Cricetulus griseus: one gene and its partners. The protein of the gene in region 3 binds, or shares a complex with, the protein of the main gene of each other region. Links are inferred from orthologs where the notes say so. Each region holds a gene or a part of one and is shown on either strand. Other genes may lie near its edges. The genes, in order: Pex19, Pex5 and Pex14.

The links.
Region 1: the proteins of Pex14 (region 3) and Pex19 are in contact, whole or in part, in an NMR structure (PDB 2W85), measured with the Homo sapiens proteins. The link is inferred for Cricetulus griseus from reciprocal best matches to the Homo sapiens genes PEX14 and PEX19. Residues at the interface, in NP_004556.1 of Homo sapiens: Leu28, Thr31, Ala32, Lys34, Phe35, Asn38, Ser39, Arg40, Val41, Ser44, Thr48, Phe52, Lys56, Leu58; in NP_002848.1 of Homo sapiens: Gln67, Phe70, Phe71, Leu74, Phe75, Ser77.
Region 2: the proteins of Pex14 (region 3) and Pex5 are in contact, whole or in part, in an NMR structure (PDB 4BXU), measured with the Homo sapiens proteins. The link is inferred for Cricetulus griseus from reciprocal best matches to the Homo sapiens genes PEX14 and PEX5. Residues at the interface, in NP_004556.1 of Homo sapiens: Thr31, Phe35, Asn38, Arg40, Val41, Ser44, Pro45, Thr48, Arg49, Phe52, Lys55, Lys56; in NP_001124497.1 of Homo sapiens: Glu59, Leu62, Val63, Glu65, Phe66, Leu67, Gln70.

Annotation. Positions count from the first base shown.
Region 1 is NC_048598.1:20,717,799-20,722,463, forward strand, and holds the end of Pex19 (peroxisomal biogenesis factor 19), read right to left. Parts: intron 4,296-4,665; coding exon 4,210-4,295; intron 4,010-4,209; coding exon 3,848-4,009; intron 2,573-3,847; coding exon 2,396-2,572; intron 2,170-2,395; coding exon 2,125-2,169; intron 1,963-2,124; coding exon 1,879-1,962; 3' UTR 867-1,878; downstream 1-866. UniProt on the Homo sapiens protein: Necessary for early peroxisomal biogenesis. Acts both as a cytosolic chaperone and as an import receptor for peroxisomal membrane proteins (PMPs).
Region 2 is NC_048601.1:21,899,088-21,903,752, reverse strand, and holds the start of Pex5 (peroxisomal targeting signal 1 receptor), read right to left. Parts: upstream 2,760-4,665; coding exon 2,613-2,759; intron 2,341-2,612; coding exon 2,305-2,340; intron 1,957-2,304; coding exon 1,824-1,956; intron 1,657-1,823; coding exon 1,525-1,656; intron 1-1,524.
Region 3 is NC_048595.1:7,300,321-7,304,985, reverse strand, and holds the start of Pex14 (peroxisomal membrane protein PEX14), read right to left. Parts: upstream 2,813-4,665; 5' UTR 2,705-2,812; coding exon 2,669-2,704; intron 1,970-2,668; exon of another isoform or gene 1,612-1,969; intron 1-1,611. UniProt on the Homo sapiens protein: Component of the PEX13-PEX14 docking complex, a translocon channel that specifically mediates the import of peroxisomal cargo proteins bound to PEX5 receptor.

The DNA of each region.
Region 1 (4,665 bases), on a different chromosome or scaffold from region 3:
GCTTGTACTTTTTTCCTTTCTCAGAGCATGGAGGAGTCTCAAATTCAGACCCCGAGTCTGAGTCTTCTGTTTGATGAGCTGTGGTAGCAGGACAGTCCCCACAGCCTGAGCTCAAGTACATTTCCTTCCATAGGATGTGATAGAATGTGTGGGACCTTTAAGAGTGATTTTAACAGTGTGTGTGTGTGTGTGTGTGTGTGTGTGTGTGTGTGTGTGTGTGTGTGTACGCATTCGTGCATGCATATGTGCTCAAAGTGACTCAAATGATAAATGTGGCTGGCGGTGGTAGTGTGCACCTTTAATACTGGCTGGCACTGGGGAGGCACAGGCAGGCAGATCTCTGTGAGTTCGAGGCCAGCCTGGTCTATAGAGCAGTTCCAAGACAGCCAATGCTGTTATACAGAGAAACCCTGTCTCAAAAAAACAAAACAAACAAACAAACAAACAAACAAAAAAGATAAATGTGAATTTGTTCTTGCAAACGTTATTTTCCAGGGGGTGATTATGATCAAAATACATTGTATACATGTATAAAATTCCCAAAGAATAAATTAATGTTATATATTTTAAGTTATTTTTCCAAGTGAACTAGACAGCTAGGTGGACTAAAATGAATATCCATAAAATATATGGCAATCATGGTCCTTAGACCTACTGAGAAGGTCAATTTAAACCTAGGTAATTTAGAAAACATGTTAACAAAATATCATTAACATCAATTATAATGTCAAGCTAAGCTGGAGGGCAGGGTCATGGTAGAAACTAGCATAACATTACACAGAACTATCTCCTAACACTTCCTACTCTGCAGCTTATAGAAGCTCAGGAAGATCAGAAACAGACCTGGATGAAAAATAACCCACACATGCGCTCAGAGTATTTATTAGATACTGTCCCCTGGGGCTTGCAGGAAAAAAGACTCAGGCTGCACCCCATTCCCAAGCATCTTCCTGAACCAAGGATTCTAGGGAATCTGATGTCTCAAGTAAGCCAGAATGTATCTGGGTAGCATGGCCACTCATTTACCAGCTCTGACACTACAATTACGTGTTGGCCAGGGAAGGGAAGGGTCTAGGGAAGGGAAGGGAAGAGAATGACACAGGAGTAGATGAAAGGGAACAAGATTGGCCTTCATCAGTCACAGTGGTTCAGAGGGGCTGGAGTAAAATAAGAATCTAAAACGAGAGGAGGTAAGAGGACAGTCAAGGGGCCAAGGAAGGTCAAGAGCTGGGTTCACCCAAACCAGAGCTGTTGAAAGAACCAAGGTAGGTAGCAACTTGAGTTCTCAGGAAGAAAGGGGAATTAAGTGGGCAGCACCTAGGGACAGGAAAAGCCCAGGGCTTCTCTTCCAACCTGACCACAGGTTAAGTGCAAAATTCCTTTCCCTTCAGAGAGCTCGAAATGAAGGCAAGGAGATGTGGTGACAAACCTACAGCCCCAGGGTAAGCTACATTTTCTCCTCATTCCCAGAAGCCCTGCCTAATAGAAACAAACACAAAGTCTTAGGACTCAGCTCCTGCTCCCCAGATCCAAGAGAGGGAGTAGAAACAAGGCACGAAGTCCCTGGGAATAAAGGGGAACATGAGTACAGCCATATAGACCATTATTTTTGGGAGTGGGAAGAAGTGATGTCTTCCTTTACGGGGCAATGAGCTGGCCTGTTTCTAACAGCAGAACACATGATGGAGTAAGGCTCACAGAAATGGCCTACAGAGCAGATTCAGCAGATCCGCAGCTGGCAGGGCACAGTCTTGAATGGGATGGAGAGTGTGGGGCAGCCAGCTCCCAGAGACGACATTCCTGCCTCAGTTCCCAATAGTTCTGCTGACTCCAGATGTTCCCCAGGTCTGGGACTCAGGGAGGAAAACGTGTTGTGTTTCACATGATCAGACACTGCTCGCCATTGGCACCTGGTGGGCCCGATAGATTGAGGGTATCCAGGTCAAAGTTGAGGCCAGGAGGCTGGAGAAGAGATAAAGGGACGGAGAAACCCACTCATATTTCAGGTCAGAGCTTCTGAAGGTCCATGCCTAGCAGCTACAATGGTCACCTTATATGGATTAACTACGGATTACTGGAGTCTGCAAACTGGGAACTGGGTTAAAATATAGAAAGCATGCTCACCATCTCCCCGGCCAGCTCTTTTGGAGGATGCCCCAAGTCCTGTAACTAGAAAATAAAAAGAACATGCAATCAAAAAAGAATAAAAATCACAGAAAACAACACAAAAAGCAACAAAAGGAATCTGATTAGTGATCTGGTTTCTCCTGACCATGGTATGTAGCCTTTCTGTGTTCCCTCCACCTAGGCTGTGTAGCACCCTTTCCAGACGTCTCCTCCAGTCAACACCCAAGTGGACAGGACCAGTAGGAAAGCACCGTAAGGAGGTCTTTACCTGCTGCATGAGATCTAGCACCGCCTCAAAACGAGCCCTGTGAGTAGCCTCGCTGTCTGTGGGCGTCTCTGCCTCAAACTGCTCACATATTTTGCCCATGACGCTGTGCTGCTCCTGGTACTTCTCAAACTGTTCTGGAGGGATAGACTCCTGGTGACTCTGCAGCCACTCTGGATACTAAGGGAAGAGAGGGAACGGGTGGGAAAGAATTCAGTGAACAAGGAGAGAAGGGGACTTAAAAAGTAAAGAGAAGAGAACAAAGAGGAAAGAAAGGCTAAACAGGCGAGTTCATCGTGAAAAGGACTAAGTACTGTTGACACCAACAAATCCTCTGGGCACACTGGTATTTACTGCAGATTAGTAAACTATGTCTGCGAAAAGCAAGAAAATAATCATTTTAGACTCTGATGATTGTACTAGTTTTATTCCTGTTGCTGCAACAAAACATCAAAAACAACTTAGGGAGGAACAGATTTATTTCATCTGATACTTCCAGGTAACAGTCCATCACAGAGGGCAGGAACTCAAGCAGAGACCACGGAGGAATACTGCCTACTCGCTGACTGTTTTGCTTGTTTTTTTTTTTTTTTTAGCTTTCTTGCTATAGCCTAAGCCCACCTGCCTAGAGATGGTACCACCCACAGTGGGCTATGCCCTTCCACATACACACAAACACACACACACTCCCCTAATTAAAAAATAGAAATAAAAATAAATCTTTTTAAAACAATATAAAAACTGCTCTTAGCTTGAGAGTTGGACTTAGGCTATACAAACACTGGTCTGCAGACTCCTGGTATTGCTACTCATTTCCTACTCAGTCACATGTTGCCCTGTGATGCTGAAGGGCTTCTATTTCTCTAGTGAAACTATAAGCTTTTTCAAGCAGGGACCATCATTTAAACTATTCTCAAATTGTTCATAACAACACCACAAAATCCTGTGAATCCTTACTGGAGAAATTAACAAAGTTAAGAAATACAAGAAGGGTCCAGGCCTTTAATTCCCAGCACTTTGGAGGCAGAGGCAGGTGGATCTCACTGAGTTTGAGCCCAGCCTGGTGTACATACAAGACAGCCAGGACAGAGAAACCCTGTCTTGAGGAGAAAAAAAGGAAGGAAGGAAAGAAAGAAAGAAAGAAAGAAAGAAAGAAAGAAAGAAAGACAAGAAGAAGGAATGGATCAGTCAAACTCAGAGTCTTGAACTAATTTAGAGAAAACTAAAGTGAAGAAATTACCCCTTCTAGCTCAGACACTCCCAGTGGGGAAAAATGATCAGATCACCTATGTACCTTTATTCCCTCAATAACTTCTTCTACTTCCGACAAAGAGGAGTTTAAAAGAATGCACTTGTACACTCAAATTGCCCTTTTACTATGCATTGTCTGAGCAGAGTGGCCCACGGTTGACATAATGAAGTGAGGAGAAAAGGCAGAAGTGGAAACTCACACACCTTTTCCGTGATCTCCTTCAGGGACGGGTACAGTACATCCTTAGACAGGAGGTTCTGCATGATGCTCTGCATGATGGGGAGGATGTTCCCATCCCCGTCCCCGTCATCCATGCCCAGCCCTTCCATGGCTTTGGTCAGTTCCTCTTCAGACATGCCTGAGTTCTAGACAAGACAAAAGAGAGGCCAACAGGTTACACTGCCTTCCTGGAATGCTTACCACTCTTTTAGGTTCAAAGAACTATCTAGATGTGCCTGTAACAAAAATCAAGGCAGGGTCAGATTTGAGGAGATACCCTAGAGCATCTACTTTGTGAGACTGCTCAGGAAGCATCTGGGAGTGGACCCCTATTCCTTCCCTTTACCTGAAGGTCAGTGGCATTTTTGGCTAGCCCACTTAATGTCTCCTTTAGGCAAGAAGTAAATTCTTGTTGAGAGTTTGCATCACTGCCTAGGAGAAATGAAAAGAACCAGGATTACCTAGGAGTTTAATTGTCAGCTTGTCTAGACTGACCTACTTACCAGCTTGGATATAAAGCATTTACTAGCAAACTACTAATACATCAAAATCTTACCTATTCTTTTTGGTCACCTTCATGGTCATGCCATAAATCTATATAGATTATGTGCTAATTGTTCTGCACAGTAACACTCACAACACTGTCTTTTCAAAGGGCTAGTTTGGGATAATCTTATTTATTTATTTATTTACTTTGGGGGGGGGAGGGGGGTTGAGACAGGGTTTCTCTGTGTAGCTTTGGTGCCTGACCTGGAACTAGCTCTTGTAGACCAGGCTGATCTCAAACTCAGAGATCCACCTG
Region 2 (4,665 bases), on a different chromosome or scaffold from region 3:
GAGGCAGAGTTTCTTCCAGGGAGTACATGTATAAAAATGCCTAAGAATAAATAAAAGCTATTCTATTAAAAAAAGAAAAACAAAAAACCTAGCTGGGCGGTGGTAGCACACACTTTTACACACCTTTAATACCATCACTTTGGAGGCAGAGGCAGGCAGATCTCTGTGAGTTCGAGGCCAACCTGGTCTACAGAGTGAGTTCCAGGACAACCAGGACTGATACACAGAGAAATCCTGCCTGGGGAAAAAAAAAAACAAACCAAAAAGCAAAAACAAAAACCAAATCACTTACAATATTGTTACCTTAAACAAGTTACTTTATCTCAAAAAACTCAGTATTCTTATCTGTAAAGTGGTTATAAAAACAGTAGCTAGAACTTGGGTTCTCATGGAGTTTAAACAAACAACAAATTCAATGCACTTAACACAGAGCTCAGAACACAGTAAGTACACAGAAGCTAATTATTATTTTATTATTGCAGATGACCTTTACCCGAAAAAGACCATTCATTCCTCAATAACCATAATAGAATGGTTCCTGGAACGCAAAACACTACAGATTCCAGTCTCTTATATGAAAGGATCTATTTGCATATAACCCACACATCCTCCTGTTATTTTAACATCTCTAGATGACTTTTAATACCCAATATATAATATAAATGCCATGTACACAGTAATTACATGAATTAGGAAATAATGCCTACACACACACACACACACACACACACACACACACACACACACACACAGCCAGGCACAGTGGTTCACACCTGGAACCCCAGCCCTCAAGAGGTTGAGGTAGGAAGGCCTCTTACATAGGGATTTGGAGGACAGCCTGGTCTACAAGAGGCCCTGTCTAAAACTCAAAAATCATGTATACTTTTAGTATAGACATAAGGGTTCACCAAACATTCTCCATCCACAATTTGTTCGATCTACAGATAAGAAACCTACAGATACAGAGATGGCCTAGCTTCTGAACCCCACAATCCTACTTTCCAGACCCCAATTCTACTCAAGATGGCTGAATGCCAGACTCCCAGGTGCTACAGTGATGATTTCTCTCTTCCTGGGCCATCCATCCCATCTCTAGCTCCTCTCTACTAGGCTAAAGCAGTCTCCTCTTTCTCACTCTCCTCCCCCTCTCTTTTTTTCTTCATTCATACCCATACAAAAGAAAACAAAGAAAGAGCCAGGTGGTGGTGGCACATGCCTTTAATCCCATCACTTTGGAGGCAGAGGCAGGTGGATCTCTGTGAGTTCAAGGCCAGCCTGGTCTCCAGAGTGAGTTCCAGGACAGGCTCCAAAGCCACAGAAAAACTTTGTCTCAAAAGCAAAACAAAACAAACCCAGTTTTCTTGTATGTTTTGATTCCCTATGATGACTACAAGAAGTCACATCTAAAGCCCTACAGAAATGAATCAACAAGTTAGAAAAGCCATTACAGCTAAAAGTCACCTTACACCCTAAGTGGAATTAGTACTTCAGTACTAATAGTACAGATTTTCCCACAAGCCTCACCTGTGACTTCAGCGATGAATTCTTGGGACCAGTCAGTCTCATTATAATCCTGAGCTACATCCACAGCATCTCCAGCCGCAAGAAACTCCTGGGCCCAATTCTCAGACAAGGCCAAGTCTGCTACACCAGGGGCTGAAAAGAGACAAGAGAAGATAAGTAAAGGAAACAAGCACCCATCACTCCTAGATGCCACCTCCTTTGTCTCCCCACTCTGCTGACACCAGCAAAATCAAAGGATAGGAGCCCTCTGGCCTCTGTGCACAGAAAACACTGGTCTTCTCACCAGACCCTCAACCCACCTCTCTGAGGAGCCTGGCGAAAGTTTGACTGTTCAATCTCCTGCATCTCTGCCAAGAGGTCATCCATCTTGAAGGTCTGAGGGGCACGGGATACAAGGGGTGCATTCTGGTCCTGCAGGAATTCTGCCACCAACTATTGCAGAGAGATGGTGAGATGAACCATTAGGCTGAGGGGACCTCAGAAAGGGGCAGGGCCGACTGGATGGGGATACTGATGTCAGACAGAAAGAAAACAGACACTGGAGACAATAAAGAAAAGAAAAAAAAGAAAAAAACCTATCTGTAAATCTGGAAACCAAAAAGAGTAGAAGAAAACACTGACACACAAATCTCATTTGGTGAAGAGAGTTCAAAGTGAAGTATGAGTGGACTGTTTAAAGGTTTTAAAGAAAAAATCACGGACCAAAAGAGACAGAGAGAGACAGGGAAACAGAGACAGAGACAGAGACAGACAGAGAGACAAGAAACTTGTCTTATTTACCTCATCTTCAGAACCTACTCCCAAAGGCTTGGAAACCTAAGGAAGGAAGAAAAGAGGCAATATTCCAGACTACCCCACCACCACCACCACACACCAACTCTAACTACTGCTTAGGTGACCTGAGTGAGGCAAGTGAAAAGCCTTCACAAAGCCTCGGCTTCTTTGTCTATAAAACAGTTGTCCTCTGTGTCAAGATGCACGGTGCTCACACCATCGCCACTGTGTGCTAACTGCTATTACTTGTAACAACAGAGAAAGCAGCTACTGGGCTGACCGACAAACGGGCTCTCGTGCCCTAGAACACTCACCGTCTCTGCAGCTGAGGCTCCCGGGGGCCAGGGGCCAGGCCTCAGTCCCTCCTGCCGAAGGGCCTTGTCCTGGGTGAAGTGAGTGGCCAGCTTCATGAGCGGGTTGGCACCCCCACATTCGCCCTCCACCAGCTCCCTCATTGCCATGGTGACCACCAGCTCCCTGATGGACAGAAGGTTAGAACTGTGCTCCCAGAGCCAGACTTTCACAGCGCACGCTCCCGGAGCCCCGATCTCGAGCAGGTGGGCCCACCACTGTCCCACGCGGGCCAGCAGGCCTCCGGGGCCAGGCGTCCTGCCGCGCGGGCTACCCCCTGGCTGTGTCCGGAGCCCCACGGGGAGTCTCTTATCATCCGGCCTCCCCACTCCAAGCCGCGGCTTTGGGCTGGGGTCCTCCCGCAGCTGTCACCGCTGCAGCTGGGACACCACCCGCCAAACAGCAGCCCGACAAACGGGCCTGGACCCCCGGGGAGCGCGGGTACCGCGTCAGCAACCCGACGAGACGGGGACTCGGACCGGACCGGGGAGAGCGGGAACGCCGCCGGCCGTACACCGGGACCCGCCACTCCAAGTCCGGGGTGAGCGGCGGGACCGGAGCCCGGCCCGCGCGCGTCCCCCGAGCCCCTCCCCCGCCGTGCGGGTCCCGGCCCAGCGCCCGCGGCCCCCAGTCCGCCGCCCCGACCCGGCCCGACCCGGCCGCGCCCCCGCTCCCGCCCCGCAAGGCCACCGCAGCAGCAGCGGAGACTCGCGGCCCCGAGCCGCGCCCCCTAGGCTCCCAAGCTCACCGCCGCGGGCCGCACCGTAGGACCCGCCGCGGCACCCGGGGGGCTGGGGGGAGGGGAGGGGGGGGAGCCAGGGGCGGGCTCGGCCTTAAAGGGACCGCCGCGCTGCGGCCCAGCTCAACGGAAGCTGGGGAGGGGGCGGGGCCTGGAGCTGCGCGGCGTGAGGGGCGGAGCCGGGAGCCTTAAAGGGGAAGTCCTGGCCGGGCGGTCTTGGCGAGCTCTCCAGGAGTCCCCAGAACGCCGGGGTTGGTTTTGTGGGAAATTCAGAGGCATGAAGGAGCTAGGAGAGGCTTCCCGTGCTTTGGAGGAAAACCGAGGTTGCAGGATCCAAGGCTCGGTCAGCTCTTTTCCCTGAGTCTTCTCTTTCTCTAAATCGCCCAAGCAGAACCTGGGAGATTTCGTGGGGTCAAATCTGTGACCCCCCACCCCCACCCGCACCCCGCCCCTTCCAACGTCACAGCCTTCAAGGAGACGGAGGCTGGCCCCCAATTCCTCTCCCATGCCTAGGTAGTGAGGAAAATAGCGCCGGATGATGACAAATGCTGGTGACTAAAATAGGGTCCTACGCATTCTGAGACCTCAAACCGGTAATGGATGGGGACGGGGCAGTGAGTCACTCCTCTCTCCTTCCAACGTCACTACTGGTCAAGGTCATGGTGGCCTGATTCCCTCAGCTCCAAGCTGGGAAAACGTGGCAAGAAATACCTTTGATCGGAGGACTAGGAACCTAAGCCTCAGGCTCCACCATCTGCCAAACCTCAAGGTCACTGGGAAACAAACCTTGATGTCTCACCCAGGTACAAGACCCAGGCGCCGTGGGGAAGAGGAGGGGTTCAGAGTGCGGGTAGATGGGCTCGGGTGAGATTAGTGCTTACAGGCCTGACAGTCCCAACCCGGAATGCTGGAGCGAAAGCAGTCAGTCAGCAGGTGGCGCCCTGGGGCAGGCTTGATCTTTGCAGCAAAGGTAGCCTTACTTGAGGAATACAGGCTGTGTAAATCCATCCCTAGGAAGATAGAAATTGCCCTTACAGCTAGAGTGGTTGAACAAGGCAGAATATTGTGCAGGTTTTTTTTTCTTTAGTACACTGTCGATATCTTTCAGACGCCCTAACCTCTATTTTCGAATTGACAACAAATCCCAGCTCTTGGGTGTCCCCCACGGATCCCAGGCTACCATTTAAGGAAGAAAAACCTAGCATCTAATAAACTAACCACACCAAGGAGAAAAGGACACCCTCTTGGAAAATGAACACTTTAAACAGGAGGCTCTC
Region 3 (4,665 bases):
CAAAAACAAAAAAAAACAATTAGGCCAGGCATTGGTGGCGCACACCTTTAATTCCAGCACTCGAGAGGCAGAGGCAGGCGGATCTCTGTGAGTTCGAGACCAGCCTGGTCTACATGAGCCAGTTCCAGGACAGCCTCCAAAGCCACAGAGAAACCCTGTCTCAAAAAACCAAAAAACAATAAGTTAAATAACTAATTAAAAGATTTTCTAATTAAAAATGAAGCTGGGAATGTAGTGGGTAGACTGCCTGCTTAGCACAGGAGGTCCTATTTCCATCTCTATTATCAACCACTTGCTGGCACACCCATGAAGTCTCACTTATAAGGTGAGGATCTTATAAGCAGGAGAATCAGAAGTTCAAGGTCATCCTCAGCTATGTAAAGCTCAAGACTATTGGTTTACATGAACTGCTGTCTCAAAAATGGATAAACAAGGAACACATATGTGTACTTATCCTATAACAGTGGCACATACCTACAATCTCTGCACTGGGGAAGCTGAGGCAGGAAGATCCCGCCTGGGCTATTCAGTGAGACAGACAGACAGACACAGACACAGATACAGACACAGACACACACACACACACACACACACACACACACACATATGGTTTTTTCAAGACAGGTTTATCTGTGTAACAGCCTGGGCTGTGCTGGAACTCTCTTTGTAGATCACACTGGCCTTGAACTCACAGAGATCTGCCTGCCTCTGCCTCTGCCCTCTGCCTCTGCCTCTGCCTCTCTGCTCTGCCTCTGCCTCTGCCTCTGCCTCTGCCTCTGCCTCTGCCTCTGCCTCTGCCTCTGGAGTGCTGGGATTAAAGGTGTGTGCCACCAATGCCTGGGGTGGATATATTTTTTAAATGTGTTATTTATTTGCCGTGTATTGTTAGTGACAGAACATGACCAAATGAGTTCAACTTTCTCCCAGGCTGCCAGCACACTCTGACGCAATCCCATCCCTATCAGCTTTGGAAAGGAGGACAAAGGAGAGGCAGAGCTGAAGCCAAACAAGTGCTGGCCAAACCCTTAAAGACCTTAGACCCCTCGAGGCCAGCTTGGTCTTACAAATCGAGTTCCAGAACAGCCAGGGCTGTTACACAGAGAAACCCTGTCTCGAAAAACCAAAAGAGAGACTTTAGCCCCCTTCCACATGTACAAAGAGGGTGATCTCCAAGACTTTTAGTACCCTCCATAAAACTGGAGGTGTCCTGGAGAAATCAGAAACTGTGGACACATTTCAGTCCCATTCCTAAAGTTCTGGAAAACTCAGGCACCACGGCACTGGGGCAGCTAAGCCAACTCGGTGGGATAAGGCAAGAAAGGGGGATCCCTCTTTCAGAACCCTGGACAGTGAGAAGGCCAGAATCATCCCTAATTGTTGGTGCTGTCTTACAGCACACACATTACCCATACCACCAACAGAGGCCGATCTAAGTGTCTACCTCCTCTAAGTGTGATTCCTCTAATTGACTTGTCATGAGCAGGAAGACAGTAAGTGTAGTTCCCTGCCTAGGAAGGAAATGAAATATTGGCAAGTAGCTGGAAACTAAGGTGCTTCAAGGAGGTGAGAGATGAATGAGATCCCTAGGCTCATTTTTTTTCTTCTTCCTAGGTCTATCCTAATGAAGTTTAAACATAGACGGCCAACTAGCGGCGTCACTCAGACACAGTGTGGGTTGAAATCTAGGCTCAGCGACGCACGTGATTGAGGACAGGTTGCAAAACCTCGCTACCCACTTCTGCACTTTACAAAGGGTACAGGCAAGAGTTAGATAAGCGACACCACTCAGTGGCCCAAAGAGATGGCTCAGCAGGTAAAGGCGTTTGCTGCCAAGCCCGGGGACCTGAGTTCCATCTCGGCGATCCACGAGGTGGAAGGAGAGAAACGACTCCTGCAAAGTTGTCCCCTGGCTTCCATCAGCGCCGTGGCTGGCACACATACACCAAAAATAAACACAACCTAAAAGTAAGCGCGGCTTGTCTTGTGCACGGCAGCATACAAGCCCCCAAAGGGCTGTCTCTTGGCTGGCATCTCGGCGCGCCCCACTCCTCCTCCTCGGGGTTGTAAACCCCACCCGGAGGCCTCACCATCACTACTTCCCCACGGCAGAAGCCCAAGCACCAGCACTGGCCGGTCACCGAGGCGGGATTCGGTTGTAAGCCTGCAGGCGAAGCGCTCTGAGGGGAGTCCCTGGCCAGGACGCCCAAGCCCAGAGGCGCGAGGGTCGGCTCCGCGGCCGGCAGCTCGCCCGCGTCTGTTAAGTTAGGGGGCTCAATTCGGGATGCTGGCCCCCGATTAGGGGGCTGCGGCGGAGGGCGGGAGTCCTCGGGCCCTCCCCGCGGGGCACAGCGGGCACCAACGAGCCGAGCCCGCCGCTCCCCGGCCCCCGGCCCCGGCCCGCGGGCTGCTGGGGGCGGCGGTGGGGACAGAGGGGTCCCCGGGGCAGGGGCCGGGCGGGAGGACCCGGAGAGGGGCGGGGCCCGGAGCAGGGACCCAGTCGGGGGGCCCCGGGCTTCAAGGGCCCGGGGTCGCCACGCCGCTGCCAGCCAGCCGCGCGCCCGCCGAGCGACGGAGCGACAGAGCGAGAGCGAGCGAGCGAGCCAGCGCCGCCCCGGCCCCGACCCGACCCCGACCCCGACCCCCGGCCGCGGCGCCCCGCTCCCCTCACCTGGCTCGGCTGCTCTGCCTGCTCCGAGGACGCCATCTTCCTGAGGCCTGACTAATCGACCGCCGCGGGCCCAAGTTCCTCCCAAGAGCGCTCGCTCTCGCTCTCCAGGCAAGACCAGAGTAGAAGGCCCGGAGCCTGTCGATGGGGGCGGGGCCCCGGCGGCTGGGAGGTCGAGCCTGGCCTCGGCGCTCCCGCCTCCCTCCGGAGCCGAGCTCTCAGGTGTGCGCCACGCCCACGTTCTCAGGGGCCCAGGTCACAGCCAGGGGCTGTGCGGTCGCTAAACACGTGAACGTGGAAATTGACTTCTAGCCATTCGGGACAGCACTATTCACGGAGGGCCTGCTGTTTCTCACGGGTATAGCAATAAACGGAGCTAATACTGTCCGTCTCTCTCTGTGTTTTGTTTGTTGTTTTGTTTTGTTTTCGAGACAGGCTTTCTCTGCGTAGCTCTGGTTTTCCTGGCACTCGCTCTGGAGACCAGGCTGGTCTCGAACTCACAGAGATCCGCCTGCCTCTGCCGCCCGAGTGCTGGGATTAAAGGCATGCACCACCAATGCACCACCAATGCCCGGCTCTGGCAGACTTTTCTATGGAGCAGGAGTTTGTTTTTCTTCTTCTTCTTCTTCTTCTTCTTCTTCTTCTTCTTCTTCTTCTTCTTCTTCTTCTTTTTTAAAGATGTATTTATTTATTATGTGTACAGTGTTCTGTCTGCATGTGTCTCTGCAGACAAGAAGAGGGCACCAGGTCTCACTACAGATGGTTGTGAGCCACCATGTGGTTGCTGGGAATTGAACTCAGGACCTCTGGAAGAGCAGTCAGTGCTCTTTAACCTCTGAGCCATCTCTCCAGTCCCTGAAGCAGGAATTTTGAAGGACTGTCCTGCCTTATTTTGGCAAAGTTCAGCAATGACTTTCCTGTGTGTCCAGCAGAATATCTGCCAGACTTTTCTGTGGGAATCTCGAAGGACTGTCCTGCCTTGTTTGGGCAAGTTCAGCAGTCACTTTCCTTTGTGTCCTGCATGTCCAGTTTCTAAATCATACTGTCAGCAGTCAAGGCAAGGGCAGTTTCTTGCCCAAATGGCTGGCTTTGCCATATTGAAAGCAAACTCCATATGATGGTTCTTCAATGTCCATCTTACTTTATTATGTAGATTTGTGCTGCCAGGAGCAGCTGTGTCTTATTGTCATGAAAATCCCTATGTTAACAAAACATTTTAAATGCCATACCCTGAAGGTCTTTGAAGTGTTTGAAGACCATCTAAAATATATTCTCTGTATGACCTTGAAAGCATACCTAACATAACTACAAGTTTGATTGTTATAGATGACTGCTAACCTGCATTTCTTAATTATCCTAAATTGTTTACAATAATAGCTTTCAAGGACTAGAACGTTATCTTACACTTTTAAATGAATTGCATGGGTACAATACCTTACACAAGAGTAGAAACATATATACAGCATAACAAAAATAACTTTAAAATTGTATCAATATACCAAAATCCATACTGATGTAAAACATTTGAGGTTAATAGTTGTCTTTTTATCCTATATTCCTGTAACCCCACTAAATGATGACAAACATTCATAATCCACCAAATAACCAAAAACCACCCACTCCATCCTCTTGGGAATATGGGTGTCATGTTCTCTAATCTGCTTCTTGTTGTCTGAGGGTGATGGCATCTTTAGGGTACCCTGAGAATATTGAGATAATGATCAAGTCCTGGGAAAACCAGTTGTAACTTTTGTTGTCCAGTCTCAGAGCTGTTGAAGGAATCTCTTGAAGGAATCCACAGCCTTTCATTTCCTGTGCAAACAAAACATAACGTCTTCCCCAATTCAACACATTTTCTGAATTACAGTTTAAACTTAAGGCATTCCCAAAGTTTCTAGGCTGGGTTAATTCAGCAGTCACTTTTACAATCCAACGTCTCTCTTAGCAGGTATTGTTAGCTCATCATCATGCAAAACGTTTAAGCCAACACAACACCATGC